Oreochromis niloticus: one gene and its partners. The protein of the gene in region 1 purifies or fractionates together with the protein of each later gene. This does not show direct contact. Links are inferred from orthologs where the notes say so. Each region holds a gene or a part of one and is shown in the gene's direction. Other genes may lie near its edges.

Region 1 (7,136 bases):
GCTGAGAATCAGAGAGGAGAAACACAAAGTTTTACTTGCATGCAAGGGCAGCCAAAGAGCACTCACACTTGGAGTGAGGGCTCCGAGACTCGCGCTCTGCCACTGCCCTGGTCTTTATTTATACACAAGAAGAGTAATACGTTTGTTCAGTGGAATGTTGATGCATGAGCATGTGCGGATATGTGTGTGTCTGTGTGTGCGCGCGTGTGTGTGTGCGTATGCGTGTGCCAGGAGAGGCTCCTCTACCTGGTACAAAGTGAAACTGCTTATTAAGCTCTTATCTAGCAGGTACTGCTCCTTCCCTGCATGATAACGGGTCACAGTGAATCAAAACAGTCTGAGTTATAAAGAGGTCATCATGCAGTATTCTATCATATGCAAACTTATATTATTAAAAGATTATACTGACTACAATTTTCTATTGACAGCTACATTACAAAATCGAATCTGTAGGCAATATCCCACAATATTATCAATTATTTCACAGAACCTTTTGGTTTTTCAGGAACAACAGTAATCAGTTTACCAGTATGTAAAAGGAACTAATCCTAACCTTCAGAAAAGTTTGGGATCAAACACCAATGAGCTAAACGGCTGATTCATGACTGAAAATCGTGACTGATTTTGTGGTCTGGACTGACCAATTCATTAAGCTCTAGTTTAGCCCTAGTTGTACACACAAGCTGCTTACCTTCATCAGCATCAACTCTTTTGGGCTAAAGAACGTGATGTGTCCCTCCGTCCTCTGAACCAGCAGCGCCATCAGGCACACCAGCACCACGCAACCAGCCACTGCTCCACGCATGCTCATTTTGCTCTGTCCCCTAGAAACATACACATTGGTACATACAGAGCAGAAAGTTCACACACAATACAGTCTGAAGGTGGCCAAGCGACTCTATTTTGCAGTGGTCGACATCTGGCATGACATGCAGCATGTAACCGAGAGCGGACAAAGAAACACAAGGAATCTCGTGCTTATGTAATACAGAGTTTGGGAAATACATTAGAGATGGGGGGGGGGGCAGAACAACAAACTCCTCCAGAGGCAAGATAGATAAGAGGTTGGAACCATATTTACAACCAGCAAGACAGGTCTGTGCACAAATGTGAGTAGATGAAAACAGAACATCAAAGAGAAAGAGAAATGAGAAAGACCTAGAGGCAGAGAGAGACAGAAGCACAAGAAGCCATGAGTTACTCACATGCTGTGTCAGCGTTGGTTAGTTGCTTGAGGAAGTGTGCTTTAAAATGAGCAGAGCTCCAGTGGTCTGAGTGTCAGCTTGTTGCTGTCAGCCTTTATATCAAGCCCTCTCCTGATCCCTAAGCTTTTTACTGTCCTCCCTCACATCCGCTCCTCAACAAGCTCCTTCAAGCATAGTCCTGGAAACACAAATATTACTCAGGAACGGCTGGCTCATTTTTTTATTTTTTTATTAGGTTAGTATACTCACCTAATCTTCACTGGTACGTATAAATTATAAGATGAATGTATACTGTGCAGTTTTAAAAAAAATCAAAGCAGTCATTTCCTCATTTATTTTTACTCACTTTAGGAAGTAGAATTAACTCATGTATTCATAACACATCCTACAAAAGACAAACTGCAAACTGAAAAGTAAAGTTCAATTTTTACGTGACTTTCGTTTGGGTCACTGAGTTAAATATAGAAGCGGGGGAAAAACAATTACGACAGTCTTTTCAAAGAAGTCAGTCATATATCCTCGGCTCCAAGTAATTATCTAACACATTCTGACATTTATGACCTGCTACTAATTTGTGTTCGCGCACATACAGACCCACATGCATCTGTGCCTTGGAAACCTCATGACTTATTTCCTGCACGGTGGCGAAATGTTACTGCAATTTATTTTTATTTTGTTGTCAGAATACTCAGCAAGAGTGTTTAATTACAAGCATTGCTATTGTTCTGTGTGGTTTATTACATTTTAGGTGCATAGATGGAGCTCTGTATGTCTTCTCTAGCACTTTATATTACACAAGCACTATGACACACAGGTGACTGCTACATTTTTCTAACACCTAGAGTATGTATTTTAAAGTAACATTTAGGGATTTAGAGGCTTCAGGATAAATTATGGAAATTGTATAACCTTTATATTATAATACTAGTAAAGAATATGTATAAACAGTTTAAAATAAACCATGCTGTATATATTCAAATCTACATTTTAAACTTTGGCATACAGAATCAAACACCACAGCAAATGTTTCAAGACATCAATCACTGGGTACTGAATTTGGGATTTTCCCTTTAAAGGGGGAAAATCTCACTTCCAATGCCATGTTTTTACTCTTGGACTCTTGGAGTCACAATTAAAAAATAATCTTTATTCATCTTCTGAAACACATCATTTTACAGCCTTTCTTCAAGCCAGCTTTGCTGTCTGTGAATTCAGACTGAGCCCAAGGGCGCCTCCAGAATTTTTTCATAGGGTTAGCCATGTGGGGGCCACTAAAAATGTTGGGGTGTCACCTCAAAAACAGAATTTTCTAGTTTTATTATGCTGTTGTCAAATATAGGTTACTTGAAAATTATGGCAAAAAAGAGAGAAAGAAAATAATTAACCCAGTTAATTTCCTGCCATTAAAGTTGATATCATTGAAAATACGTACATATGAAACCCATTTTGAAATCCACAATAATTTGTTTTGATTGACTGATTGATCGATTGATTCCAACCTTCACTAATGATTCTCAGCAGAGCTGAGCAGAAGCTGTGGGGGGCCAGCAAATTCAGGGGATGCATTGCAATAACTTTTTTGGAATTACAGTCATTGTTATCTAAAGTCCCCCATTTTCAAAGGATCAAAGGTAACTGGACAGTCCTCTAACAAGCAATTTTCTGCTCCCTTGTTTCATGACAAATAAAGCAGCTGGAAACATTTGGTGTTAATTCAAGTGCTTTTGACAGTTAATCTCAATAAGAGGTCCAAAGAAATGTTGATGCAATTGAAGGAGTTAAAAAAAAACATTCACAAAAACACTTGACTTGGTTAGATGCGGTAACCATGTCATTGTAACAAGTCTATGATCAAGAGAGGTGTTCATGGATGAAAATAACGTGCAAACCACTAGGTACACTCAAGAGCAATGCCATAAAACATATAAAGAACCTGCAAAGTTGAGTAAGTGTTGTAAATGTTGACTAATTAATAAATAAATAAATACCACAATGACAAGAAGAGAAAAATATGGAGAGAAATAGCTAATGATGATTAAAGACGTAATTCTGAAGTGCACAGGCTGGTATTCTGTTCATATTCAGCCAAATACTGCAAAACTGATTAGTCAGCACTTCACAGTGCAAATGTATAATGACCCGAGCGATAATGCAAAAGCAACCAGCGAGCGAGCCATGGCAATGAAATGGGATATTCTTCAATTGCCTATTTATCTGATCCCAACCTAATATAGCATTTTGTTTAGTAATTAAACACAAACCTCAATCCAGAAAGACCCACATACAAGCATCAACCAAAGTGGCAACAGTGCCAGCATAACAGAGCATCTCAAGGAAGAAAAAAGCATGTGGTGATATTTATGGTTTACAGACTTCAGGATAGGATTTTCCTTCAATTAAAAATAAATCATTCTTATTTAAAATAATCCTACTTTGTGCAGTTAGTTTTTAATCTGGGTGGACACTGTATACAAATTACTTTAACTCCTAAACAGTTAATGTAATGCTTTTGTTAAGCGCCTCTAATTAAAACTGAACGCCTGGACTTCAAAATCGCATATTAAGTGTAAGACTTGGAATCCACTGTGGTAGTCTGCAGATGTGGTAGTCTGTATTTTTTTTTAAACTGCAGTCCCTGGCTATAGATATTTAAAACATTTCTCTACCAACAAATACACGTGGCCCAAACACTTTATTGTTTTCGTCTGTTTTGCCCCCTCCGACCTTTTCTCAGTGTGTGAACTGTAAATACACTGCTTCAGAAAAAAAAAACAAAAAATATTTTGGGACGCGTTTACCCACAGTTAGATGAGAACATATATAAGAGCACGAACCTTATATTTTAATATTTGTTTCTTCAGCATAGGAAATTGGGGAAAGGACGCATATTGAAGCTTTCTCGGTCGGGTCTCGCGATGTCAGAGCTGCTACCGCGGGATTTGGGGCGGTGCTGCTGTTTGCTGAAACGCGTGGACGCAGTCTTTTTGCTGAGGTGAAGCAGCACAGCAGACACGAATTGCGTGCTGCCGCAGATTTTCCAATCATGGTAAGCTGAGCGGGGTTGGATATGTTGGCATGACTGCAAATTGTTCGTTAAACTTTACACTTTAAGTTTTTTTGCAGTTAGTTGCGTTTTAAGAGTATAAATGTCTAGTTAGATTTAGTTCACTTCTGTCGAGCTAAAGGCCCTCCGACATTTGGGGAGCAGTTCCGCTAGTGCTGACATTAGCGGGAAAATATATATTTTACTTTAAAGGCTTAAAGTGACAAATGATGTGTCCAGCTGTGTTAGTCGCAGTCGTGCCAGAAGCACTGATATTGACAGTGCTGTAGCAGGTATTGTACTTTTCTAGGGGCCGTGTTAGCACAAGCTAGCTCTTAGCAAGCACGTTATACGCAGGCCTAGGTCGACACGTGGGTTCATCGAGACTGCAACGTGGTTACGTGTGAAAGTTACGACAAAGCAGTGGTAGCTAAACCTGAAGTGGGAAAACACTTTTGAAAAAGCTACTGCACATTTATGCCTAAAATTGCAATCTTATTTTAGGAATTAATCGAAAGTGAAGTTAGCTCGTGTCTCGCTGGTCAGCACGTGGGGACTAGTAAACACTTGATCTGAACGTAGTTTTAGAAACACCTTTCAGTTTCTGCTGGCTGCAAGTGTTACCTGTTTACGTCTGTCGTCTAACTCGATCGTGCACGTTCACCTTCCCTAGGTGTTGCTGCACGTGTTGTTCGAGCACGCGGCGGGCTATGCGCTGTTCGCCGTCAAAGAAGTGGAGGAGATCGGCATGCTGCTGCCCCAGGTGCGTCCTCTTCCCTAACTCCTGTGTACTATCTGTTTTGTGTGCTCTTTAAGCAGAGCACTGATAATTGTGCTTTTGTGTCGTGTCAGGTGGAGGCGAGCGTGCTGAGCCTCGGAAAGTTTAACAGCATGGTGAGCTTAGCCGCCTTCTTCCCCTTCAAGTCGGCCCAGGCCGCCCTGGAGAACATGAACGCCATCTCTGAAGGTATGTATGATTATCATTTTTCTCTTTATCAATCTTGTGTGGAAAAGTCCTCAGCTGTAATGATGTTTTATAATCTGTCAATCCACTGAGTTCTTGTGCTGACAGTTTCATATCAACCCTGAACACCTGAGGAAAGACTTTACATGGACAGCCGAAATTGTAGATTTTGATTTGTTCTTTTATCTGTAATAATTGTTAATGAGACTACTTTAATTATGTTCAATTTGTTCTGAGATGGCAAGATTGCATGATGGCAAATTATCGGGCTTTAATATGATAATATCACAATAGTCAGTGTCGTATCTTTTAGATGCCTTTCCATCTCAACCACGTGTCTACAGATGTAATTACATTCTTCCATCCCTTGAAGGTATGGTTCATGCTGACCTGAAGCTGTTCCTAGAGACCAATCTGCCCCAGTCTGGGAAGAAAAAATCAGTGTTGGGGGTTTCTGATGCCAAGATTGGAGCAGCGTTACAAGAAGAACTTAGCAGTTCAATCCAAACTGGAGGGGTGGTGGCTGAGATCACACGAGGTGAGAATGTTTACCTGAGAGTTATTACAAAATATGCAAAACGATACTGTGTCTATATAATAATGTGGACTGTTGTGATGTGAACTTGTGATCCTGAAACTCATGAAGGTTCATACTGAAAATCTGAACAGCCGTTGGATCTGCACTTTTCTGTTCGTGTTCTTCTTAACACTCAGCAAACCTTCTCAATCTGTCCTGTCCCGTCAGGTTTGCGTCTGCACTTCCACTCTCTGGTGAAAGGTCTGACTGCCCTGGCTGCCTCCAAGGCACAGTTGGGTCTTGGCCACAGCTACTCCAGAGCTAAAGTCAAGTTTAATGTCAACAGGGTAGATAACATGATCATCCAGTCCATTGCTCTGTTGGATCAGCTGGACAAAGACATCAACACCTTCTCCATGCGTGTCCGGTAGGAAATTTTCATCACACAGTAAAAGGACTGGTTTTTGCATAAAATTAAACAGTTTAGGGAACATGTTAACCTTTCATGCTGTTCATCTTTTACTCTTTTAATCTCTTCTCTAGTTTTATGGCTTTTCTGGTGACAGATTTGCATCAGGCTTTTTGTAGTTCAGGGTACATTTTGGGGCATCCTCCTAATGCTTACCACAGACAGCACACCTCAGAGTGCTGACTGTATAGAAACAGGAGGTAGATCAGTTACTCCCAACACTTCTGCTCTGCCAGCTGCTATCTGGTGAGGCAACACTGTTGGGTGGAACATCATGTATATTTACTAGCTCAGCATCTTGTAGCTGTTTGGGGTGTCGTGGCGCATGCATTCATTTTGGTGTGAAGTGTCCTGGTGCAAACTGTCAGAGTGCAAGATCATCTAGAACATTTAGGCATCAGTTATTGTCAGCTGTAGCATTCAAGTCTTAAAAGCTCCAGGCTTGTCCTACCGATACAGGACTCTGTGAATAGAATTGGATATCTTGAGAGAAAGAGAAGCTGTAATTTTGAAAGTGATATTTTTCAGCAGTCTTGAACTTAATTAAAAATTGTGCCATCTTAATGGGTAGTTCTGTTTTGTGCTTGAGCATAAAAGCCTCGGTTATTGGGTTTGTTTTATAATAGTTGTTTTTTTTGTTTTTTTTGTAAATGTGCAGCCTTTAAATGCTTACTCCAAAAACCCTGCACTCAAAGTTTTAACAACCTCTTGTTTATCTACAGTGAATGGTATGGCTACCACTTTCCGGAGCTCATCAAAATTGTGTCCGACAACTCGATGTACTGCCGCCTGGCTCAGCTCATTGGAAACAGGAAGGAGTTGTCAGAGGAGAGCCTAGAAAGTTTAGAGGAGGTGGTGATGGACAGTGCCAAGGCTCAGGCCATCCTGGATGCATCACGCTCCTCTATGGGTGAGTACACCGGACATTCAGAGTATGT
Region 2 (7,199 bases), on another chromosome or scaffold:
CTACTGTGTGGCTAGAGTAATACATGGGTATAGGCCGACTCTTTAGCAGTCAACTCACAGATGTTTTGATGGATGGAGAAGGAATGGATATCCACTCAAGAAAGGACAGATCAAGACAAAATGACCTAAAATACTTTTCCCAGTAATTCATCCAGTGTTGTTTACTTGCACATCCCTAAATCTCCTTAGGCTGATTGAGAGCCATAGGAGCTGAAGCACTCAGCCATCTTAGGCCCAGACATTCATGACTGTATTATTGTTTTTTTGTCCAATCCTCCAGCAACCAGGAATAACTCCAAAAGAGGAGCTTGACAGAGTGAATCCAACTTATTTTCAATCTGGTGTCAGGAAGCAGTCTGTTGCCCTGATATGAAGAGTGACAGCAGAATGGGAATTTAATAGACCGCATTTCTGTCTGGCTCAAGCGATTACAATGACAGAAATGTAAATTATGGGGGGTTTTTTTCTCCTTTTGAAGATGTCTCAGAGCAGGGCTCTGACCATGCAGAGAATGGAAGAATTAAGGGTGGTGATGTTCAAATTGTAGAAATCGATTTCCATCAGAATAGAATGAATGTCACTCTCAGGGGGGCTCAGACAGCCTCTGCTTTGAGGACTAGGAGGATAAAACACTGAAAGAGGCCGATGACATCTCAAATGAACAGCGGCTGTCAGCACAGAAGTCCCCAGTCTACTTCCTATCCTGCCCATCTGGTATTAGTGATAGCGAAACTTCTCTAACCTGCTGAGCTGTGAAATAAACAAAATTTGCATGGTTTAATACCAAACTAAATGTCTCATTAATATGCTAAAGTGACATGAAAAGATCATTCTTCATCATCAGTGTACATAGAAATCAGTTTGTTACTGCTAATTATTACATCTACAGTCATGGTAAGAAATATAAAGTGAACTCTCTTTAAATTCCAGTGTAGTAAATATAATCTGTCCACCAGTACTGCTTCCATAGGAATGAAGATAGTAAGTAGCAGCCAGGTGCTGATAATCAAATGCACTTGAGTCATAAGAAAGTGTGACCACCTCTTTGAAAGCTTTGGCAGTTTTCTGACCTGAAGCAGTCAGGTGAATTAGCACCGTGCCAAGGAAGAAAGACATCAGCAACAATCTTGAAGAAGCAACTGTTGCTCCCCATCAATCTAGAAATGGTTAAGGGCCATTTCCAAACAATTTGAAGTCTATCATTCTGCAGTGAGAAAGATTATTCACAAGTGGAAAACATGACACATTCATGACAGCTACCAATCTTTTCAGGAGTGGATTTGCCAGCAAATTCATCCCAAGGTCAGACTGTGCAATGCTCAGAAAACCTGAAAGAGCCAAAGTCTACATCTCAGACTCTACAAGCATCAGTCAGCATCTTAAATGTTAAAGTTCATGGAAAAACAATCAGCAAATGGCACAAGTATGGCTCTTCTCTCTAAACAGAACATGGCACCATTGCTTAGGTTTGCAAAGTCCGAACAAACCACAAAATGTCTAAAACAATGTATTTTGGATAGATGAGGCCAAAAAGGTGGCGTTTGGATAGAAGAAAGCCAAACACAGCATATCAGCACAAACACCTCATGGGGTGAAGATTTAGGCTTGTTTTGCAGCAACAGGCCCTGGACACCTTGTAGTCATTGAGTCAACCACGAGCTTCTCTGTATAATAAAATATTCTAAAGTCACACATGAGGTCATCTGTCTGACAGCTCAAGCTTGGGTCAACAGAAGAACAACCTCAAGCACAGCAGCAAATCTACAACAGAATTACTGAAAAAGAAAAGAATCAAGGTGTTGCAATGGTCCAGCCAAAGTCCAGACTTCAAACTGATAGAAATGCTCTAGCTGGACCAAAAGACAGCTGTGCATAAATGCCCACAAACCTCAATGAACTGAAGCAGCCTTGTAAGACAGGTGAGCCAAAATTTCTTTGTTACAATGTGAGAGACATATAGTCACTCCGGAAATTATAACTTCAAGTTACAGGTCTACAAGCTATTAAACAATTGGCTCTACTCAGTTTTTAACACATTTCTTCTGCATTTTGGCTCAGTGTAATATATCAGGTGTTGTTGTCTGTCCAAGGTTGCATTTACTTAATTTTAAGACTGGGTAAGGACCAGATGACGTTTTATTAACTGTGTCTTTTCACCATCACTGTATGTTCTAATTATTACAACTGTTATTCTAACACATTTCTGCAAGACTACTCTGAGCTTTCCTGACAAATCAAAGTAATGTCAGTAAGCCTGTAAAGTTGGATCACTTTTGTAGTCCAGGTGTCGTGAAAACGAGCCGCTTATTAAGAAGAAAGCTGTTCATGTTGCTATTAGTCAATCTCAAATGCAACCTTCAAAGAGATAATGAATTTAACTTTCAGTAACATAGATAAGAGCAGCAGTGTCATGTAAAGAGAAAAAAAGTTAGGATAAAATAGGCAAAATATTAAAATACTGCATTAGTTCCAGATTCAATATCTTTTGATGTTTTTTAGTTATTTGAATGGCGTATGAAAGCGAAGATCAAAGATGCTATGTGCTGTTTTGTTCAGTTAGCAGTTCTGATGCACAGTGCATAAGATAGGACACCAGCAACCACCCAGGTAATGACCACACAAAACAGTTTCAATATAGGGATATGTCTTATATTTTTCTTTAAGTTACATTCACACTGAGAAACCTGGAGACCACATAAAACAATGAAAAAAGGCAAAGATACTGTCTGTCTGATTCTGCTTTACTTTCTGGGTGATTATTGATTATCTGTTTCTTTGCTATGTGGCTATAATAAAGGTTTGCAATTACCTTGTCTTCCAAAGAAAACCATATCTGTTTAGCAGCATAAACATAACACAGCTAACCATTAATTGCATTTAGGAGTGTTTTACTCCTCACCACCCGAAAGGGTAAATTATCTCTTAGACTAAGTCTTAGTTTTAGTATGCACACTTTAAAGAATGTCAGCTCTTCGCCTTGCCCTTGGTATGGTTGAGATCCTTGCTTGACCACTTGAGATGAATCCCTTTCAAGTGACATTTTGAGTAAGATCAACTTACTTCCATGGTCACAGGCAAAGCACACCATTAGCATTCAGCACATACGCACTCTGGTTCTAACTGCAAGCCCTTCACTCTACAACTGCTACGTGACCACATAAGATGAACACAAACTGTCCTTCGCTAACATTAAAGTGAATGATTGTGACTCCCATTGGAAGTACTCTTCGGTTTTGGACATTTCAATGCTGATGGCCTTTGCATACGGCATATCCACTGGTTTCTCTCGGGTGCTAATCAAAATGTGTGTGATGTGCACTGGAGAGTTTAAAGAAAAAAGTTCCTTGGGTAGCATGACTAAAGAGGAAAGGATCACAGGCAGAGATCTGTATGTTAAAGACACACACAGGCTACATCCCAAGAAATAAACAATAAAAGAATTTATTTAATTTTGAATGTCTAATGAATGCAGAAACAAACTTTACTCAGAGCACCAGATTTTGGGCTGTCCTGATTTTCCCCACAGACAAAATGTTCATTGACAGTGACACTGGGCCAAAAACGCAGACATTTTTCTCAGTCGTGCCATGTCAAAGTGACAGAAATCGACTCAGGAATTGAGTAATGGAAAAGAAATGTCGATAGTTTCTGTCTTGATGAGGTGGCAAGTGAAAATCCTGAGTCTTCCTTTACACAATAGGAAAAGATTTAAAGTAGAATCTCTAAATTGACGTTAGACTGTAAAGTTCTCATATCGACCCATCCACTGTACTTTCCAGTCTGCGCAGGTGTACAACATCTCCTCTAAGAGGACTTATTTGATATTACACACTAGACGTAACGGAAACGTGTTTTCGTCAAAGACCGTAGACTTTTATACAGTCATTGGTTTTCGTAAACCACCCAAGGCATTTTATTTTATATGTTAAATCAAATTTAAAGACTGGAATGGAATTCAAAACAACATTTTTATCTATATGAAAAGCGGAGATTTCAATGAAATAAGATGATACGTGACTAAAGTTGCATCAGAAACTCTTCAACGAGCGAATCGGACATTGAGTTATCGGATAGTGTGACTTAAACGTTATTTACTTCTGTATTTTTTATTTTTTATTTATTTATTTACTTTTTCTGCGTTGGAATTTTTTCCGGGTAGGAACGATTATTTTTACACTTTTTATCCCCCGGCGAACTGAATAGGTAGGACGTTCAGAGGCGTCACTTCCGCTCCACGTGAAAGGCTCCTTATACTCCATGTGAGGAGCACTGTATATCCGAGGCGTATTTTACGTTTTAATATTGATAGTTCGCATATAGTCATCTCATGGTTATCGGCAGCAAGACTATGGCGTTCGTAGAGGAAGAGGCGCTGCTCGGTCAGGATTCAGAGGAGGAAAACAGTGAATTATCGGACGATGAGGTCAGTTTCCTAACATGCTAGCATCGTTAGCTAACCACATTCCTATTAAGTATTAGGGTTTTAAACGTCACTGTGCCTGCTGTTTATAAAGTTAATCAAACAAACAGAGACCTGGTACTATTATCAGTGTCGGAATCTTTATTTTTCTAATCAAGCTTTTTAGATAGCACGAAAGTTCACGTTTAGTAGGACCGTGTAGTCTTGCTGTAGCAAGTGGTGGTTTAGATAAGTCAGAGTTAATATTATTCATCTTCATTTCATTGCCCAGCTGCAAGAAGCCTTCGCAGCGGGGTTGTTGAAGCCTGGGATGAACGTTCTGGTGGATAAACCGAAAAAGTTAGTCAACAATGTGGTGAGTGGCATCTCACATCTTCTGTTAGTAGCAAGTTATGCTACACAGGGATGATCAACGTACTATAAACAACCATACCACTGTAATAGTTTTAAAGCAGCAATGGAACGGTTCTCGAAATTCCCTGTAAAGTGAATATAATAATATTGTTACTTGTTGTACCTTTATTGATCCTATGTTGTCACACAGGAGGGGTTGAAACAGTGTCTTGCTGATTTTCGTAAAGATCTTCCCTGGGTGGAGAGATTGGATCTGACCAACCTACCAGCTGCAAATATAATTTCTCAAGCTGAAGAGAAAGCTTCAGCGCCAGCCGCTGGAGAACTGGATGCTGATGATGATTTCCAGAGGGAGATGTTCTTGTACGTGACTGTTAATTTAGCTCAGTTTTATTTAAAGCATCACATATGCTTGTATTTTGTAACCACACTAATATAGTTTGGTTACGAGTCAGACAAAGAAATCACTTTTTTCAGCTAAAGAGTTACAAACATGCATACAGTGTTGAATGTTTTAGAGAATAGCCTAAAAAAAAATGCTGCAAAAATACAACACAGCTACAAAGAGACCATTCCAATTCTTTGGTGTTTTTTGTTAATTTACAGCTACCGTCAAGCTCAGGCTACAATCCTCGAGGCAATGCCACTTCTAAACAGGCACAGCATAGCCACCAAGAGGCCCGAAGACTACTTTGCAGAGATGGCCAAATCTGATCAGCATATGCAGAAGGTGAGCCTGGTCTCCTTTATAATGATGCAGGTTCAGTTTTGACAAATATGTTTAAAGCTCAAACTGTATTTCATTACATTAAACCAGCAAAGCATCAGCTGTTTGCTTTTTTTTTTCTCCTTACATGTTCCATAAAACCTGAAACACATAATTACAGTGATGTTGGAATCTAAGTATTAGTTCTCACCCAGATAGTAAAGTAATTAACATTTCTTTGCACCTACTGGTTCAGGACCTGAGTTTAGTTGTTCTTTTGTTCTGTCAGGCTTATATTCATATACCTTTTCATGTGTTGGTCTGTTCAGATCAGGAAAAAGCTGATCTCAAAGCAGATGATTATGGAGAGGTCAGAAAAGGCCAAGAAACTGCGTGAGCAAAGGAAGTTTGGCAAAAAGGTTGGTGACTGAGTTTAGAAATTCTTCTTAACACCTGTAAATGTTATATGTGTATGATACTTCGACTGTACATGGCTAAAAGACTGACTCTAATTTTGAATTTTTTGCCAGGTCCAAATAGAAGTGATCCAGAAGAGACAGCAGGAGAAGAAGGCCATGATGTCCGCTGTAAAGAAATACCAGAAGGGTGGGTGTTTACAAGTGTAGCATGGACGTTATTTCCTTATTTCTTTTATCGTTTTGTCACTATACCACTGTGGGTGCATCACTTATTGAGCACTGAGAACAACATCTTCTCTTTCTAGGAATGACCGACAAACTGGAATTCTTGGAAGGTGACCAGAAGATGAATAAAGAATCTTCTCAGGGCTCAAAGAAAGCAGTGAACAAAAAGGGGTAAGTTTGAACAGCAGTGCACACAGCAGTCATTGCTTATTTTTTTCTTTGCTCCCACTTCAGATTTGTGGTATTTTTAAAATGAAATTCACAATTTCCCTTCTTTTTTTTTCTACAGGCCCAGCGCTAAGAGAAAATACAAGGACCAGAAGTTTGGCTTTGGAGGCAAAAAGAGTGGAAAGAAGTGGAACACCAAGGAAAGCTACAACGATGTTTCCGGTTTCCGTGCCAAAATAGCTCACGGCAAGGGAGGGAAGAAGGGGAAAGGAGGAAAACAAAATGTGAGTCTCTCACACACACAGTTAGCCATTGACAGTTTTATTCAAATCAGTCAATAAAAAAACAAATAATTTCTTTCTCTTTGACTCCCAGAAACGTCCAGGCAAGTCTGTGCGCAAGAAGATGAAGAATCGCTCTTAGAGACTGGCGGGCTGCTCAGCAGACTGGACTTTGCTCTCTGCTTTTTGGCAGGATTTGCCTTAAGGGACTATGAGCTCTTCTTCTACATTTTTTGGTACAATATACCTTTCGTACATGCATCTGGATTGATATGGAGGTCCATATTAATCATATTCAAACCACAGATGGACTGAGTCCGATCTTACAGCTGGGGAAGTTATTCAAAGGGCCTGTAAAGCCAAGAATGGACTGCACACAGCTCCAAAATACAGAGCTTTCCTAAGTTTGAGGACAATGTTATTTGCTGTATATACACTGATATTTGCATCTGTGGCTGCAGTTGTCCCTACCCTAAGGTGGTTTTAGATCCACTCTCTGTGATTACACCTCAGTATCTCCACCTTCTCAATGACACACTGTTCTCCTGAGGTTTGTGTGTTGTTTTACTTTTCTCACTCAGCTTTTTGACTCATTGATTCTCTCCCATGTTACATGACATTTTATA
Region 3 (8,017 bases), on another chromosome or scaffold:
CCCCAAACTTAAAATCTATGGTAATTTCATGTTCCATTTTCAAAGTGTGACTCTTCACATTTACATTCTAGTTCAATTTTATTAGTGTCAAATCATAACAAAGGTTATCTCAGAGTGCTTTGCATAGCAGGTTCAAGACATTTAAACTTCCCTTCAGCAGAAAGAAACCTAGGGCGCCATCTGGAAGACAAAAAGCAGTGTTAATGGCGTATACCAGTGACACACAAATGCCTGGAGAGTAAAAGAAAAGAAAGGCGATGTCTACTCACCTTTGTACTTTTAACACTTGTACTTCTTAAATTATCTCCTGGATTTTACAAAGAGGCAATAAAGGGAAGCTAATAAGGGAGAAATACACGTGTTTACTGTCACAGTCAATCTTTCACTACTCGTTCCTCCACATCCCTGTCTTCACGAGCTCATGGCGCCCTCTAGTGCTAACAAGAAAGCTTGCTGCTTGTTGAAATAATAACTACTAAAGACCTAGATTTAGTATGTCCCTCGCTGAAAACAAAGAAGGTAGTTTACAAGACACCCAAACTGCCACACCTCTGTGTTTTATACTTTTATAATCAATCATTTACTCACCCACCATGCTCCACCTTAGTCATTGTGAGCACATGAAAACCTCTGTACTTAAAACTAAACTTGGGTCCTGTTACAATAAAAAATTAAAGAGGACCTTACGTATTTTAAATCTGCCTTCATGTCGTGTTTATGGAGGTCAAAGATGAAAAATAAAACCTATATATAATGTTCAAAAACAAGTAAAACAGCGGCTTGTGTCAGCAGGTTTCAGATCCACAGTTACATAAATCTCTGTTTGGGACAATGCAGTAATAATTGCAGAGGTCTTTTGAGTTTTAGTTTTTTTCCTAATCTGCTTTGTTCTGATTACACCTTTTGTGTATGTTTCCCCACACGCAACCCTTTGCGTGTCTGCAGTATTGTTTCCACCAACAGGAAGGAGCAGGTAATTATAAGCAGATTAGGAAGTGGTAACAATGACTTGAATGCTATTCTTCTTCATATAGGAAAACATCCCACTGGGTATTGTCATCATCAGTGCCCAGAAAAGAAAAGACATCAATCAGGACATTAATCGGGGAATAATAAAAGGAAAAAAGACCTATGGGTGCATGGCTGCAAAGGTTAGGATATATGTTGTTTGACAGCAGAGATGAAGATGAGGACTTGGTGTGGTAAAAGCAGCCTGCAAACCGTGGCAGCAACATAAGTGTCGTGTCATACTGTATTTCAAAAATAACCAGCCGTTATCAGCATCCTGTACCCTAACATTGGCAATCAGGATAAGCGGTCACACATAGCTGGTTACCAACTCACTTGGTCAACTGAGCAAGTTGTGGGGGAAATGATTGTTCGATCCCTTGCAGAATTAGTTTGCTCGTTTACAAAGAAATATCCCTAATCTTCACAGTAGTTTTAATGGAGAGACACAAAAGATAAACCAGAAAAACACACACACACACACACACACACACACATTACATAAAAGGTATGTCCCTGTACTTTTATAGTATTTGGTGAGGAAAAAACACTTTTTGGCTAGTAAAGCGGTAAGACGTTTATTATAGTTGGTCACCAGGTTGGCAACCAGATCAGGAGGGATTTTGGCCCACCTCTCTAAATCCTTGTGGTTTCTTGGCTGCCACTTGGCAACTGGAAGCTTCAGCTCCTTCCACAGATGTTCAATAGGAAAATTGGACCTTTGGTGTGGTGACGCTGTCTTGTACTTTTAGCAGAAAAGGAGCCCGAAAGCATGACGTTTCCACCTCCGTGCTTGACTGTGGGAATAGTGTTCTTTGGACGATACTCAGTATTTCTCTTGCTCCAAACATGCAGGGTTGGGTTGATGCCAGACAGCATGATTTTAGTTTCTTTTGACCACAGTACTTTCTCCCAAGGCTTCTCTGCTTCATTTAGATGTTCACTGGCAACTAGATGAGCTTGAACATTTGCCTTATTGAGCATGGGGACCTTGGTGGTGCTGCAAGACATCAGTGCACTTCAGCACAGTGTGTTATCAAAGGTCTTCTTAGTGATGGTGGTCCCAACTGCCTTCAGAGCCTCCTGTATAGTTTTAGACTGATCTTCCACTTTCCTCATGATTATCTTCATCCTATGAGGGAAAATCTTTCATGGAGGGTGACCAATGATTATTTTATATTTCTTCCATTTCCAAATATTTGCAACAGTTTTCACCTTCTCTCTAAGCTTCTTGCTGATGTTTTAGAGCTCAGTCAAGCCTTGTGCAGGCCTCCAATCTGTTCCTTACATCCTTTGGCAGCTCTTTGGTTTTGCCCATGCTGGTGGAGAGATGCTTTTTTCCGGATTATAGGTTGATATTCTCCCTCTTTCTATTAAAATGAAACTAGCAAAACAAAAAACAAAAAAAATGAGAGAATGTTCATTTCTTTGGCAACAAGCAAACTTGCAATTTCAGCAGGGGATCACATTTCCCCCACTGTAGGTGTGAGCACATTCACATGAAAGGGGTGTTATTGGCAATCACACTGATTGTTATGTCACCAGCTGAGCAGCTGATTTTACAAAGGAAGAATAAACTATGATGTTAAAAAAATATGAAGTGGTTAAAAACATAACAGAGAATCAAAATAACACAGCTACTTCAGATAAATCAGCGACATGAGAGAGAAAAAACTGTACTGTTTCGTGTTAAAAGTGCTGTATGAATTTGTGAGTGCTTTCAATGTTTTGGACAATAAGACTGAAAAAGAGCTACATATTGATAAAGTGTAGCTGACTTCAAGGCAGGAAGAAAACCTGGGGAAAATGCCAGTTGTGCGATTTAACAAATAAATCACTTATCACAACTTTATCATTCGGGAATTGTGACATTGATCAAGACTTCAGTCGGTGGAGAGTTCATACCTGTTCATCTCTAATCTGGCGTTGTGACAGAAAGTGTTTTTTACATGTAAGATGTTTGCTTGTATTGGTAAACAGACTGTAGTCAACAGGATTTACAAAGGGATTATATTTTAAATAAAGAAATTACCTGTTTTAGCATTTCTGCAGTGCTTTCAACACCATCCAGCCACGACTTCTGAGGGACAAGCTGGAGCTATCGGGAGTGGACCACCACATGTCCCAGTGGATACTATGGACTATCTCACAGAACGCCCACAGTATGTGAGGACACAGGGCTGTGTCTCTGATACACTGGTCTGCAGTATGGGGGCCCCCACAGGGAACTGTGCTGGCACCGTTCCTCTTCACCCTCTACACTGCAGACTTCTCCATCAACTCCCCACGCTGCCACCTACAGAAGTTCTCTGACGACTCTGCCATAGTTGGCCTCATCACAGGTGAGGATGACTCAGAGTACAGACAGTGGACTCTGGACTTTGTAGACTGGTGTCAGCAGAACCACCTGCTGATCAATGCCGGGAAAACCAAAGAGTTGGTGGTGGACTTCCGGAGACGCAGACCCACCACACTGACACCGGTGAACATCCAGGGAGTGGACATTGAGATAGTGGACTCTTATAGGTACCTGAGTGTTCACCTGAATAATAAACTGGACTGGAGCCACAACACTGATGCTCTTTACAGGAAGGGTCAGAGCAGACTCTACCTGCTGAGGCGGCTGAGGTCATTTGGAGTCCAGGGAGCGCTTTTAAAGATCTTCTATGACTCTGTCGTGGCATCTGTCATTTTTTACAGTGTTGTATGATGGAGCAGCAGTTTATCGGCAGCTGAGAGGAAGAGGTTGTGTAAACTTATCAGGAAAGCCAGCTCTGCTCTGGGATGCACCCTGGACCCAGTGCAGGTGGTGGGAGACAGAAGGACTCTGGCCAAAATAACATCTCTGATAGACAGAGTCTCCCACCCCATGCATGTAAATGTTGCTGAACTGCAGAGCTCCTTCAGTGACAGACTGCTGCATCCTAGATGCATGAAGGAGCGTTTCCGCAGGTCCTTCCTCCCTGCAGCTGTCAGACTGCAACTTGCACTATTTTATCAACCGATTCACACTACAACCTGGGTTTGCCTCTTATCTGTATTTCATTTTATTTTATTTAATAACTGTACAGTACTCTGTTTTTGGTAACCATTGCCCTTGATGTAAATATGTAAAAATTGTGTATGTTTCTGTTCTGTGTCTTGTGTACTGTTTGTTTGTATATGTGTCTTTCTTGCTGCTGTTACATCCAAATTTCCCCTTGTGGGACAATTAAAGGATTATTCTATTCTATTCTATTCTATTCTATTTAAAAGAATGACTCTGCATTATTGTACCTACATTATAACCAATCAAGTCCTTTTTGGTCACTTAAAATATCATTATAGAACTATAATGCTAATTTGTTGCCATTTCTGATACATTCTTGGCCAGATCCCCTCAAAGAAGACATTTTGAATGTCAACAAGACTCTTTAATGGGACAAATAAAGGTCATATAAAAGAAACTTTACCAAAAACTAATTTCAGTTTCTACCTTGTAGCAGGAATGTTGTTTGTGGCTCAAGATGACTTAATAGCTATCACAAGGGAAACATTTGGCACATATTTCACATGTTATAGGCCAACAAGTCAATGACAGCAATTAAAATACGAGTAATCACTTTTTTGGCGAATACCAGAAAGCACTTTTAGGCAGACGATCACTTAAGGTTCGCAGAATGAGTTACCGTGGCGATGTAACCCTGTAACTGATCGACCTTTTTAGTACAGGGAACGCAGGGTTCATCCTGGAGCTACTTAATATAGAATGCCATATAGGCAGGTGGAGGCAGGTGGAGGCAGGAACTGGCATCATGCCACACCTGTCTCTGGCAGGCAGGAGTAACAGGAGTGATCCTGAACGAATAAATGAATAAATAATTTTTTTTTTCAATGCCAGGGTTGAAAAGGGGGATCTTTCTTTCTTTCTTTCTTCTAGAGCCGCCATCCAAAAAAGACGTTGGGGGTACCATCTCCAGGACACTAGAGGTCACTCTCACTATTGCTTTATGTTATTTTTTTTCTTCGGAAGTTCGGAGTTTCGTGTGCGTGCAAACATGTCGCCGTTCAAGAGAAAACGTGCCGGCCAAGATTCCGTTGATTTCAAGCCGAAAAAAGGAAAACTGGTACCAGATGAAGGCAAAGGCCTAGAGGAAGTGGGAAGAGAGAAGGAACATGAGATCACGGTGCCAGCACCGATCTCTCAGGTCAGAGTTATAGCGTGTTATTGTCCACTGAACTATTTTAGCTGGTGAGCCAACTTCAGTTTACCAACTACGCGCTACTTTACTTACTTATCTATAACCTGTTCAGTGTGTTGCATCGGATAGAGGAATTCGTTATATCGGAACATTCCCAATCTGATATCGCCACAGATATAAACCAAACTGCCTTCTTAAACGTACAGTCGGCATTTAAGGCTAATTAATAGTAAAAAGAAAGAATGTTGTGCTCATAAATATGATAGTGTGTTATTACGTTCCTTCCAACAAATTGATGCGTTTTAATAAACGCATCGTTAATCCATTAAAAATACATAAATGGCTCGTGATGTTTTGTGGAGGCGGCCAGCTTATTTAAATACAGTGGCCGGGAAGGACATTTCCCTTCCACCCAGTCGCATTTTACATGTGGCTAAAGCTCGGCTACATGTGTAAAACACCAAAGGAAGAGAACTCGTAGAAGTCGACCTCGGAGGCTATTTTAAATTCGTGACTTCGTCTTCAGACTCAAGACTTGAAGGATTATGCTTGTGTTTTATAGTCGTGGAGAAGGGGTCCCCTTCATCAAAGAATCAAAAATGCAAAGGAAAAGAGAGAGGCCCACCAGCATTTTAAGAAAATGTCATCCTCGTTATCCTCACCTCAAGCCAGTGCTTTTGTACATGGAAACAACATGCTAATTTATTCCTGATGTTGTTGCTGTTACTCATAGTCACTGGCTAAACAACAATAGCATCTAATTAGAAAGTGTCCCAAAAAGGTTTCGCTGTAATAAACAGTTTGCTTACATCGGAGGGTTTATTCACAAAGCATCAAAACAGCAGCTTTTACCAAAAGAAAGGTTCAGCATATCCTCAATAACTCACCTCAGTATGGAGGTCAAAGGTCACTGACCTGTATTAGACTACTTCCACAAAGTTTGAGGGTCTCTTCCAGATTGAATAAATGTGGATCCCTCTTACCCAGAATTGACAGCTGAGGTAAACAATGGACCAACAGCCTTCCGCAGACAGGGAAAAACTTCCGGGCAGATCCATATCTGCTCTGAACCGTAGTAGAAGAACGCTGTTTCTTTGCTTTTGTTGCATTTTAAGACTGAAATTGCAAACTGGTATTTGTTTTAGTTCGATGTTCTGAGGTAAACTCTCTTTAACAGGGCAAATGGACCAACAAGGAAAGAGTTCTGATTTTCTCCTCCAGAGGGATCAACTTCAGAACCAGACACCTGATGCAGGACCTGAGGACCATGATGCCTCATGCAAAGGCAGGTTAGTGTCATATAGCATTCACCTACGGCATTGCTTCACACAAACACCTGTGTTATCTGTCTTACCTTACTAACCCACAAATCTTGTGCCTAGACACAAAAATGGACAGAAAGGATAAGCTGTTTGTCATAAACGAGGTAAGTTTGCTGTTTAATATCTCAGTTTACTCTTATATAACATATATAAAGCATCCAGGAGAATAAAGTCATTTGTTTGGCAGGTTTGTGAGATCAAAAACTGCAACAAGTGCCTCTATTTTGAGGCCAAGAAGAAGCAGGACCTCTATATGTGGTGAGAATTTCATTGGTATTACATCTCGTGTACATCAGACTCATAATAAAGCCAATCTGAACTAAGTTCAATCATGTTCTTGTCTTGTAGGATTTCAAACAGCCCCCATGGCCCTTCTGCAAAGTTCCTAGTCCAGAACAGTAAGTTATTTCTCCACTAAAGCCCTCAAATGCAGCAATCACTTGTTATATGTTGGGAAAAATAATTGCATTGCCCCTCCTCTTCGACAGTTCACACACTGGCCGAACTCAAACTGACAGGAAACTGCCTCAAAGGATCCAGGCCGCTGCTCTCGTTTGATCCTGTGAGTAGAACTGGGTCATAAAGCCAGGAGTAATAAATGAGACTTGCTGTTAGTTTATAATCAGTATGTGTTTATTCCGAATTTCTTGCACTATGAGTCTCATCAACACCACATCAGATATTTATGGTTTAGTGTAGTCAAGGAAATAGGGATGGGAATTGGTAAGAATTTAGCGATTCCGAGATCGATATCATTTATCGATTTGATTACTTATTGCAGCAATATAGAAATTACCTTCATGCAAATTAACTGCATGCTGTGGGTTAAATGTTTGTGCATGTTACACAGAACATATTAGACATATTACACAGAACACTTTTCTTCAAAGTAATGCAGTACGTTACTTAATTACTCCCTGGAAAAAATAATTCCTTACACTACTCGTTACATTACTTTCATGTTACACTATAACTGAGCTGAAATACACTATTTAACAATATAAACCTGAGGCTACAACCCCACACACCAACACAAATCCCTAATGAGAACACACATCTCTAAGATCTTTCTCTTGGAGAATACAAAGCAGACCACACAAGTACCGAAGTTGTGTTAGCAGTATAATGCAGTTTTTTCTGTCCAGTTTTCCACTTTACCATTTATCTCATTCTTTTGTGCAATAAAAATAAGTGTCCATATCCATGCTCGACTGCGTCGCCTTTTTCCTCCTCTGACAAGCGAACCGTGCAGGAACCAGTAAGCGGGATCGATAGAAAGGCAGAATAACAATTCCAAGGAATTGGACTTCTGGGAATCGGTTTTCTACATAAACTGGTTCTCGATTCCCATCCCTACAAATAGCGTCACAAAAATCTGCACAGTGTCTTCACGCTGATACAAAATTCTCGGTCTGTGATTTGAATAGTGAAGGTGTTTTTGTGTTTAAGTTGAATTTAAGAAAAAACTCCTGAGCAAGAGCTAAAGTTTTTATTTTTACTCTTTAT
Region 4 (7,171 bases), on another chromosome or scaffold:
TAATGTTACGAAAGCCTTGAAATAAATAGGAGTAGTAGTAGTACACCCCATGCCCCCCCTTTAGACTCACCCCTGCTTACTGTTGGCATCAGTGTGACAGAAAGGATGGCTGTCGTCAACCTCCATTAGGCTGTCTTATTTAAACATTGTATGAGACTAAGTTAACAGTTCAGTTGCATAAATATAATTTTATTGTAATTTCTATAGCTTTATTGTAGATGTGTTGCTGTGTTAAGCAAACTGCGGTGGATGGGAGCACCTAGAAAGTTCACTTTTCTTCCTGTTTGCACTTGTTGATCAACGGTTTTGATGAAGGACAGTTTTTCCCAGTAAAGGCCTTTGTGGTTACTACAGGAACAAGCACTGCTGTTTTGAACGCTCGAAACATGTTTTTGTTCACACCACCTGAATGTCTCTGTAACAGCTCCGCCCCGTGGCTTTTCTCTGTCTTATTTTAAAAGATATTTTTAAGTCTTTTTTTTAATAACTGGAAGCTGCATGGGTTTAATATTGTCGTTCTTTTTATTCACACATGTGATCGTAGATATGTTTCTAATGCAGGTCTCTTTTTAAATCACAAATGTGGGAGAAACACCTCTTCTTACATGGATTAAATGAAACATCGGAGAAAATAATCTCTCCTGGGGAAGTTTTTTAATGGAATTATCTGAGTTACAGCCTTAGTCAATATTAAAGTGTTGTCACAGGAGCAATTTTTCCCCTCTGTTAACTGAAGAGAAGTGATCACCTTTAATGACACCTAAGAGCCAATCAGCACGGGAAGTGTACTTATTTCCTCCTAAATGTATCAGAGAACGCAAACAATAGTGTCTTTTGTTCTCTACAGTTTAAACAAAAGCATTCTGAAATAAAACAACACAGGCCTCTGATAAGTAACCACCACTGTCAATCAACACATATACTGACACATTGTATTGTGGTTAAATTAGAGCACCATAACGACTGCATTAAAAGGTCAGTTCAGACTTAACGGTAAAATCCCTACTCCCAGTTCCTGTTGATTATAGCATTTTAACTAACAGTTTAATTAATCACGTCATGGTGAAAGAATACAGACACTTATTAGAGAGGCTGAAGGATTTATCAGTCAACTGTAATTATCAGGCATTATTGTCCCATCACACATATTTCTGTTGGAATATATGTAGTGAAGTTATTATAATATCATTGTGTATGTGTGCACGTCTAGTTAGATCCATTTCAGACAAACAGATGGAGGGAGGAGAAGGGGGGTGATTATCTATTTTCAAGAGACATGAGGGAGCTCAATATTTTTACTTTAATACTTTTCTGGAAAGAATCAATCATTTAAATCCTGATTAAATTGCTTCAACAATGACACCTGCAGGCAAGGCAAGAGATGACAGGGCTGTGTCTGTAAGTGTAGGGGGTAGATGAGGAGGACAGCACAAACTCAGGGCAGGACCTCTTATAAGAGCTTAATACACATCTATGTTTGTTTGGTGGATCTCATGTGGATCTGCTGTTGTTGCAGACATGCAAAATGATGCTCCATGGAGTAACATCCTCCCTTACAAATCAGCAAGCAAAAGAAATAAATACAGAAACTGTGTTTGTGCAAACAAATCTTATACGAACCGAATGTATGAACTTGCATTGAAGTAATACACTGACATATTACAGGGATGGTGACTAATGAACTGATCATTTATTTAGAGGATAATCATGGCTACTTCATGTGTGATGGTCATGTCCACAAACACACAACTGAAATATTCTAGGAATATTGATTCACATTTTTACACTCCTGCCCCATTTTCACAATAAGTTAGTTTGCAGTCACTCAAGCTATAAAGCAAACAACTGGTTTAATGAATTTGGTTAATTTGTTTAATACATTATCACACTATATCATATTCCTTTCTGGTATGAGCAAGCGAGGAGGCTGAGGGTGGAGCTGGTTTAGGTACAGAGTCCAACCAAATGGACTTAACCATCTGTTGTAACCACATGGGGGAGTTTGTTTTTTAATTATTGTCCCTGTGCAGCAATGATCCACAGAAAAGAAGGTCAGACACCAACTAGGGAGAATCAGAAGGCCAAACGGAACAATACTGTCATCCCTTATGTAGCAGGTTTATCAGGGAAACTCAGGAGAGTCTTCTCCAAGCATGACATCCCAGTGCACTTCAGACCAGCCACGCACTCAGACAAAAACTGGTTCATCCCAAAGACAAAACTACCAAACAGAAACTTAACAATGTGGTGTATGCTGTACAGTGCAGCGAGGAATGCTCAGACCTCTACATTGGAGAAACCAAACAACCACTTCATAAACGCATGGCACAACATAGAAGAGCCACCTCAACGGGACAAGACTCAGCGGTTCATCCCTTCCCAGACGCCTTAAAGCCCACTCACATCCTGGGCCTTTAGACCTCAGGAAATCACATGATAAGGTGAAACCTTGGCTGATTGTGACCTACACCCGTTTTCACACCTTGGCTAGTGTGATTAAGTAGAGGATCATTAGGGGATCCATGACACTCTTGGGGACACTCCTTAAGGCTTAAAATCTGAGACTCTCCACCAGTTGCGCTTAGAACTGAAGAAGCTTCTCAGATGAGGGGTGAAACATCTTCAAGAAAACTTAAAGAAGTCCAGATGGATGACTGAGAACCTTCACAGACATATAGTCCCTGTTTTTTGTTTTTTTTCCTTTTGTGTTTAAAATGCTTTAATCAGTTACTAGAGGTTGTATTTGGCTGCTTGTTCCCTGATATCCAGGATCACAGAAGTGACTTTTCCCCTCAAATAAACAGCGGTATTCCTTTCTGTCTGGGCTATTTAAAGGTCCAATTCATCATCAGTGCTAAAACACTTTATTAAATGCATGAGGTTTATTCTCCTCCACAGTCCACTCTGTCTGTGTGTGTGTGTGTGTGTGTGTGTGTGTGTGTGTGTGTGTGTGTGTATAAGCTATTTTCTTCAAGAAACAGCTGATAAGCTTTCATTACTGTAAAAACTAGCATTCTCCTTGCTCTCCTTCTTGGGCTGTACATGAACAATAAAGGAGAAATCACAAATGCAATAATCTAACTGTAATGGTTGATTTTCTTCAGATTTATCATTTTTCTGACTCTAGACATCGATTGGAGCTCTACATTAAACTGCTCAACTATGCTTCTGTTTGCCATTTCTCTAATGGAGTTAAGTGGCCGATAAAGTAGAGTATTTCATATTTTACTACAGCCCAAAAATACACGCATGTAACAGACAGATGTGGTGATAAAACAGCACTTTGTTTCACTCTGAGTACCAGTGATTTTAAACACCTCCGCCATTCATTAAGCCTTACATTTAATCACTTCTGGGGTCCGCAGCAGTTACTGTTGGGGACCTGGGCGTCTTTCTTCAGCACAGTGGGCCTCACAACGTCCACATCACGGTGCAGGTGATCCAGTAAGCCAGCGAGCATGCTAGGAGCTGCGTAGAAATCCACCAGAAAGTAAGTCCCTCGGCTGTGCCTCTGGTTGTGTTTGGTCATTCTGTAGGGCAGCTGTCTTTCTCCCAGGTTCTCCAGGTCTCTCACCAAGGCGCCCCGCTCCATCAACGTCTCCACCGTCCTTCGCAGAACTGCCGCCGTCTCCGGCCGCTGCATCTGCTTCAGGATCAGGGCCAGCTCGTACCGAGGCATGGCTGCAGCAAAGTAATACCCGAGCCACACGTTTAATTCAGCTAGAACTGGGCTGTCATTGCCACACTGCTCAGTTGAAAGGCGACATGTTATGACACGAGGGGCACGAAAGGTCTTTAGTGATGACGCATAAAGCGTGCGCCTTCGTGGGCAACAAAGCTTATTAAATATAACAAATAAGAGTCATTTATTTTTTTTTAAATGTGGCGTTAAATGTGTAAATGAGTGCATTTCAATAATAAAAATTCGCATCTTATTTAGCATATCCAAATATTTTACTCGTATTGTTTTAGGAAATTAGTCACGTGAGAGCAACCCGAAATATTTTTAAGGTTTTTCAAAGGATTTTTAAAATCACAATTAGTCAGTGAAATTATAATGTTTTATTTAGTTTTTCTGACATTTGGAAACCTCTAGAAATGTTTTTTGTTTGTTTGTTTTTTTTACTGAAGCGTCGATACGTCGACACCCAGCGCCTGCTCACAAGTGCCTGATTCCGTCACTTCCTTTTCCAGAAGAACGTGTTGAAGATGGCGGCGGAGAAGTCGGTACCGAGTGATCTTTTCAAATGCGTGTACTCGTTTCTGGTGGAGAACAAGTTCACCAAGGCGGCTCAGGAGTTCTTGAAACAGACTAAAGTGGTGAGTAGCCTACGCTGTGTGGCGGTGTGTGACAGACACGTCCTCTCGCCGGGTACTAGACGTTAGGTCCAGGCGGCACGAGGGGTAAATACGTACAGGTCACCGAGCCGGTGAAGTTAGCACGTGTATCAGCTGCAACCTGCTATTGAGCTAATTAACGGTCGCAGTGTGTTAAAGTGTAAATACTACAGCGTGTTTATACTTTTTTAAATTATGATTTGTGGAGTTTTAGTCACAAATTCAAAGCGCTGCAAGGGAATTATTAACTTACTACTTCATGTGTTTCTCTACAGGCTCCGCAAGATCAGAATGAAGAGAGACTCGTCAATATCTACAACTTCTGGGTGAAGTGAGTTGCTTATTAATATTTTTTCATTCGAGAGGGGTTTTTGACATAAAAATATAAACACATGACCAAGCTGGCTTTCTGTGTCGAGAAGTATGTTCCTGTATTGGTACAATAGAAATTTCACTGCTGCTCTCCCAGTGTTCAAGGGTCTAGTAACGCTCGTTGAGTTTGAGGATTATAATGAGAGAAAAATCTAATACAATATGAAAAATGTTATAATACAACCCAAATGTTATTTTACAAATTTGAAGTGATTTTTGTTTAGGCAAATGGGAAATTAAATGGTTTTTATATAGCGTTTATAAGCGTTTTATTCAACATGCCAAAGAATAGTTTACCATGCAGAGTGGAGCAGCCAGTCCCTCTCTCTCACTAACTCAGTGTTCAGTTTTGCCCAAGGACACTTTGGCATGCAGGCTAAAGACTAAAGCGTTATTATTTGCATATCTTTCTACTCTGGGAAAGGGAGTGCTTTTTATCCCGTTGAAGGTTTTTTTTTTGTTGTTTTTTTTTAATGTGGGTGGTGTTGCATACTGTGTGTTAATATAATTATGGGCTATATCATTGAAACTTTAAAAAAAACATTTAAAAACCTTTAACTAGATCTCCCGAAGCCAAAAAACGAAAGGCGCCTCCAAACTGGACTGGTCCATCAGCCAAGAAGGCAAAAGCCAGCACTGAGAGCTCCAGCAGTGAAGAGTCAAGCAGTGAGGATGAAGAGGCTGGTGCAAAACAAACTAAAGCAGCTCCTGCAGGTATAACCTTCATATTTGATATGGATAACTGAAAGGGTTGGCTGAATTCTGCTAGTATTGTGCATTCTGAAACTCTGTGATATTACATTTTCCCTCATTCCACATTTTAGCAGCCAAAAAGGGGCCTGCTAAAGCAGCAGCTACTAAAGCTGCATCCAGCAGCAGTGAAGACTCTAGTGACTCTGAGGAGGACAAAGCTCCTGCAAAGCCTGCTGCAAAGCCTGCTGCAAAGCCTGCTGCAAAGGTAGAACAAAGCATCAGAATCAGACATTCTGATGATAGCCTGTTATTGCGACATTACCTTGCCTGTTATCCTTTTATTAAAATGTAGTGTCTGTTTTTAGGCACCTGTGAAACAACCTCCTGCTGCTGCAGGTAGCACAAGGAAAAAGGACAGCAGCTCCAGCAGTGAAGAGTCTGACTCTGAGGAAGAACAAACCGCCAAAGCTCCTGCACAAAGTAAGTCTATATTGAGTAATTTGTCTAAGTTAAGATTAGGAAAATCTTGGGTAACTTAATTTACTGTATGCATTTACTGAATAACAGAACCTAAAGCTGGTGCAGTCACAACACCCAAAGCAGGTGTTCCTGCCAAAGGTGCAGCTCAAAAGAAGCAGGAGAGCAGCAGCAGCGAAGACAGCTCCTCAGATTCTGAAGATGAGAAGCCAGCCAAGGTACACAAGATCTTCTGGCTCTGTCTTTATGTTGTTATGTGTTGTTGATTGTCTCACACTCAGCCAAGTGTGGTGTGTAGCGGATAAATGCATGCATCAGATATTAACAGCATATTTCCATGTGTTGTGTTAGGCTCCAGTCAAACCGGCTCCAGCCAAACCAACCCCAGTAAATAAAGCTGCTACTGAGTCAAGCAGTGAAGACTCTTCATCAGAGGATGAGGCTCCTCCCAGCAAAAAACCCAAAGCAGGTGTGTTTTCATCCTTTCTTACAACTATACAAGCTGCACAATAACAAAAGTCTGGTTTGGAAAGATGAGAGGCACACTTGCATCAGCACCTGGGAAGTGAATCCCAATCAAGTCTTTTTAACCTATTACTGATGTGCATAGGTTCGACAGCTATATGAAAATACAAGTAAGATTGAGTTCACATTAATTACCACAGTCCAGTTTTGTCCATATCAGGATCATAAGACCATTCTGCTCTGACTGAATTATACCGAAAGCTGTTCACTTGGTCATCTCTGGAATGATCTGTGATTAAAATATTTGTATTTGTAGTATTTGTTTTTAATGCTGACAATCTACATTTGTCCTTCTAGGAGCATACAGTGCTGTACCACCTCCTGCTTCAATCCAGAAAGCTCCTGCTGCACCAGCAGCAAGCAAGGCCCAGGACAGCGACTCTTCAGACAGCAGTGATGACAGCAGTGATGACGACAAAAAGGTGGCAGGTAAGTGGGTTCCTTTTTTTTTTTTCTTTCCCCACATGACTTCTTGGTGTTTATTGTTGGATGTCTAACAGCATTTTAACTTGCACAGCAAAACCAGCCCCTGTAAAGTCGCCTGCAGCCAAACCTGGAGCATCCAAACCCGCTGCAAAGAAGCAGGAGTCCAGCTCAGAGAGCTCTGGTATGGATCACAAACGTCACTCGCTCATTTCCCATGTTGAAATGATGATCAGTTTGTGACAGTGAATGTTTGTAAATGTCTCTCATCTTTCTAGATTCCAGCTCAGAAGAGGAGACGGCCAAGAAGCCTGCAGGTAAAGCAGCCCCAGTCAAACCTTCT

What was found.
Region 2: the proteins of nop56 (region 1) and ebna1bp2 purify together in Homo sapiens (affinity purification with mass spectrometry; 4 studies listed by BioGRID and IntAct, with this or other methods). This does not show direct contact. The link is inferred for Oreochromis niloticus from reciprocal best matches to the Homo sapiens genes NOP56 and EBNA1BP2.
Region 3: the proteins of nop56 (region 1) and bxdc2 purify together in Homo sapiens (affinity purification with mass spectrometry; 3 studies listed by BioGRID and IntAct, with this or other methods). This does not show direct contact. The link is inferred for Oreochromis niloticus from reciprocal best matches to the Homo sapiens genes NOP56 and BRIX1.
Region 4: the proteins of nop56 (region 1) and nolc1 purify together in Homo sapiens (affinity purification with mass spectrometry; 6 studies listed by BioGRID and IntAct, with this or other methods). This does not show direct contact. The link is inferred for Oreochromis niloticus from reciprocal best matches to the Homo sapiens genes NOP56 and NOLC1.

What each region holds. Positions count from the first base shown.
Region 1 is NC_031970.2:28,335,105-28,342,240, forward strand, and holds the start of nop56 (nucleolar protein 56), read left to right. Parts: upstream 1-4,125; 5' UTR 4,126-4,248; coding exon 4,249-4,251; intron 4,252-4,921; coding exon 4,922-5,011; intron 5,012-5,100; coding exon 5,101-5,215; intron 5,216-5,585; coding exon 5,586-5,750; intron 5,751-5,957; coding exon 5,958-6,156; intron 6,157-6,337; exon of another isoform or gene 6,338-6,473; intron 6,474-6,920; coding exon 6,921-7,108; intron 7,109-7,136. UniProt on the Homo sapiens protein: Involved in the early to middle stages of 60S ribosomal subunit biogenesis. Required for the biogenesis of box C/D snoRNAs such U3, U8 and U14 snoRNAs. Part of the small subunit (SSU) processome, first precursor of the small eukaryotic ribosomal subunit.
Region 2 is NC_031981.2:33,036,391-33,043,589, forward strand, and holds ebna1bp2 (putative rRNA-processing protein EBP2), read left to right. Parts: upstream 1-4,193; 5' UTR 4,194-4,327; coding exon 4,328-4,423; intron 4,424-4,691; coding exon 4,692-4,775; intron 4,776-4,964; coding exon 4,965-5,137; intron 5,138-5,380; coding exon 5,381-5,504; intron 5,505-5,809; coding exon 5,810-5,899; intron 5,900-6,010; coding exon 6,011-6,086; intron 6,087-6,204; coding exon 6,205-6,295; intron 6,296-6,413; coding exon 6,414-6,576; intron 6,577-6,667; coding exon 6,668-6,715; 3' UTR 6,716-7,005; downstream 7,006-7,199. UniProt on the Homo sapiens protein: Required for the processing of the 27S pre-rRNA.
Region 3 is NC_031972.2:18,181,320-18,189,336, forward strand, and holds the start of bxdc2 (ribosome biogenesis protein BRX1 homolog), read left to right. Parts: upstream 1-5,001; 5' UTR 5,002-5,045; coding exon 5,046-5,195; intron 5,196-6,366; coding exon 6,367-6,478; intron 6,479-6,571; coding exon 6,572-6,615; intron 6,616-6,698; coding exon 6,699-6,769; intron 6,770-6,859; coding exon 6,860-6,909; intron 6,910-6,999; coding exon 7,000-7,073; intron 7,074-8,017. UniProt on the Homo sapiens protein: Required for biogenesis of the 60S ribosomal subunit.
Region 4 is NC_031978.2:22,127,857-22,135,027, reverse strand, and holds the start of nolc1 (nucleolar and coiled-body phosphoprotein 1), read left to right. Parts: upstream 1-4,162; 5' UTR 4,163-4,209; coding exon 4,210-4,320; intron 4,321-4,613; coding exon 4,614-4,669; intron 4,670-5,272; coding exon 5,273-5,424; intron 5,425-5,534; coding exon 5,535-5,668; intron 5,669-5,768; coding exon 5,769-5,883; intron 5,884-5,970; coding exon 5,971-6,098; intron 6,099-6,231; coding exon 6,232-6,349; intron 6,350-6,702; coding exon 6,703-6,834; intron 6,835-6,922; coding exon 6,923-7,012; intron 7,013-7,106; coding exon 7,107-7,171. Other genes in the region: mrps6 (small ribosomal subunit protein bS6m), read right to left, coding at 3,347-3,679. UniProt on the Homo sapiens protein: Nucleolar protein that acts as a regulator of RNA polymerase I by connecting RNA polymerase I with enzymes responsible for ribosomal processing and modification.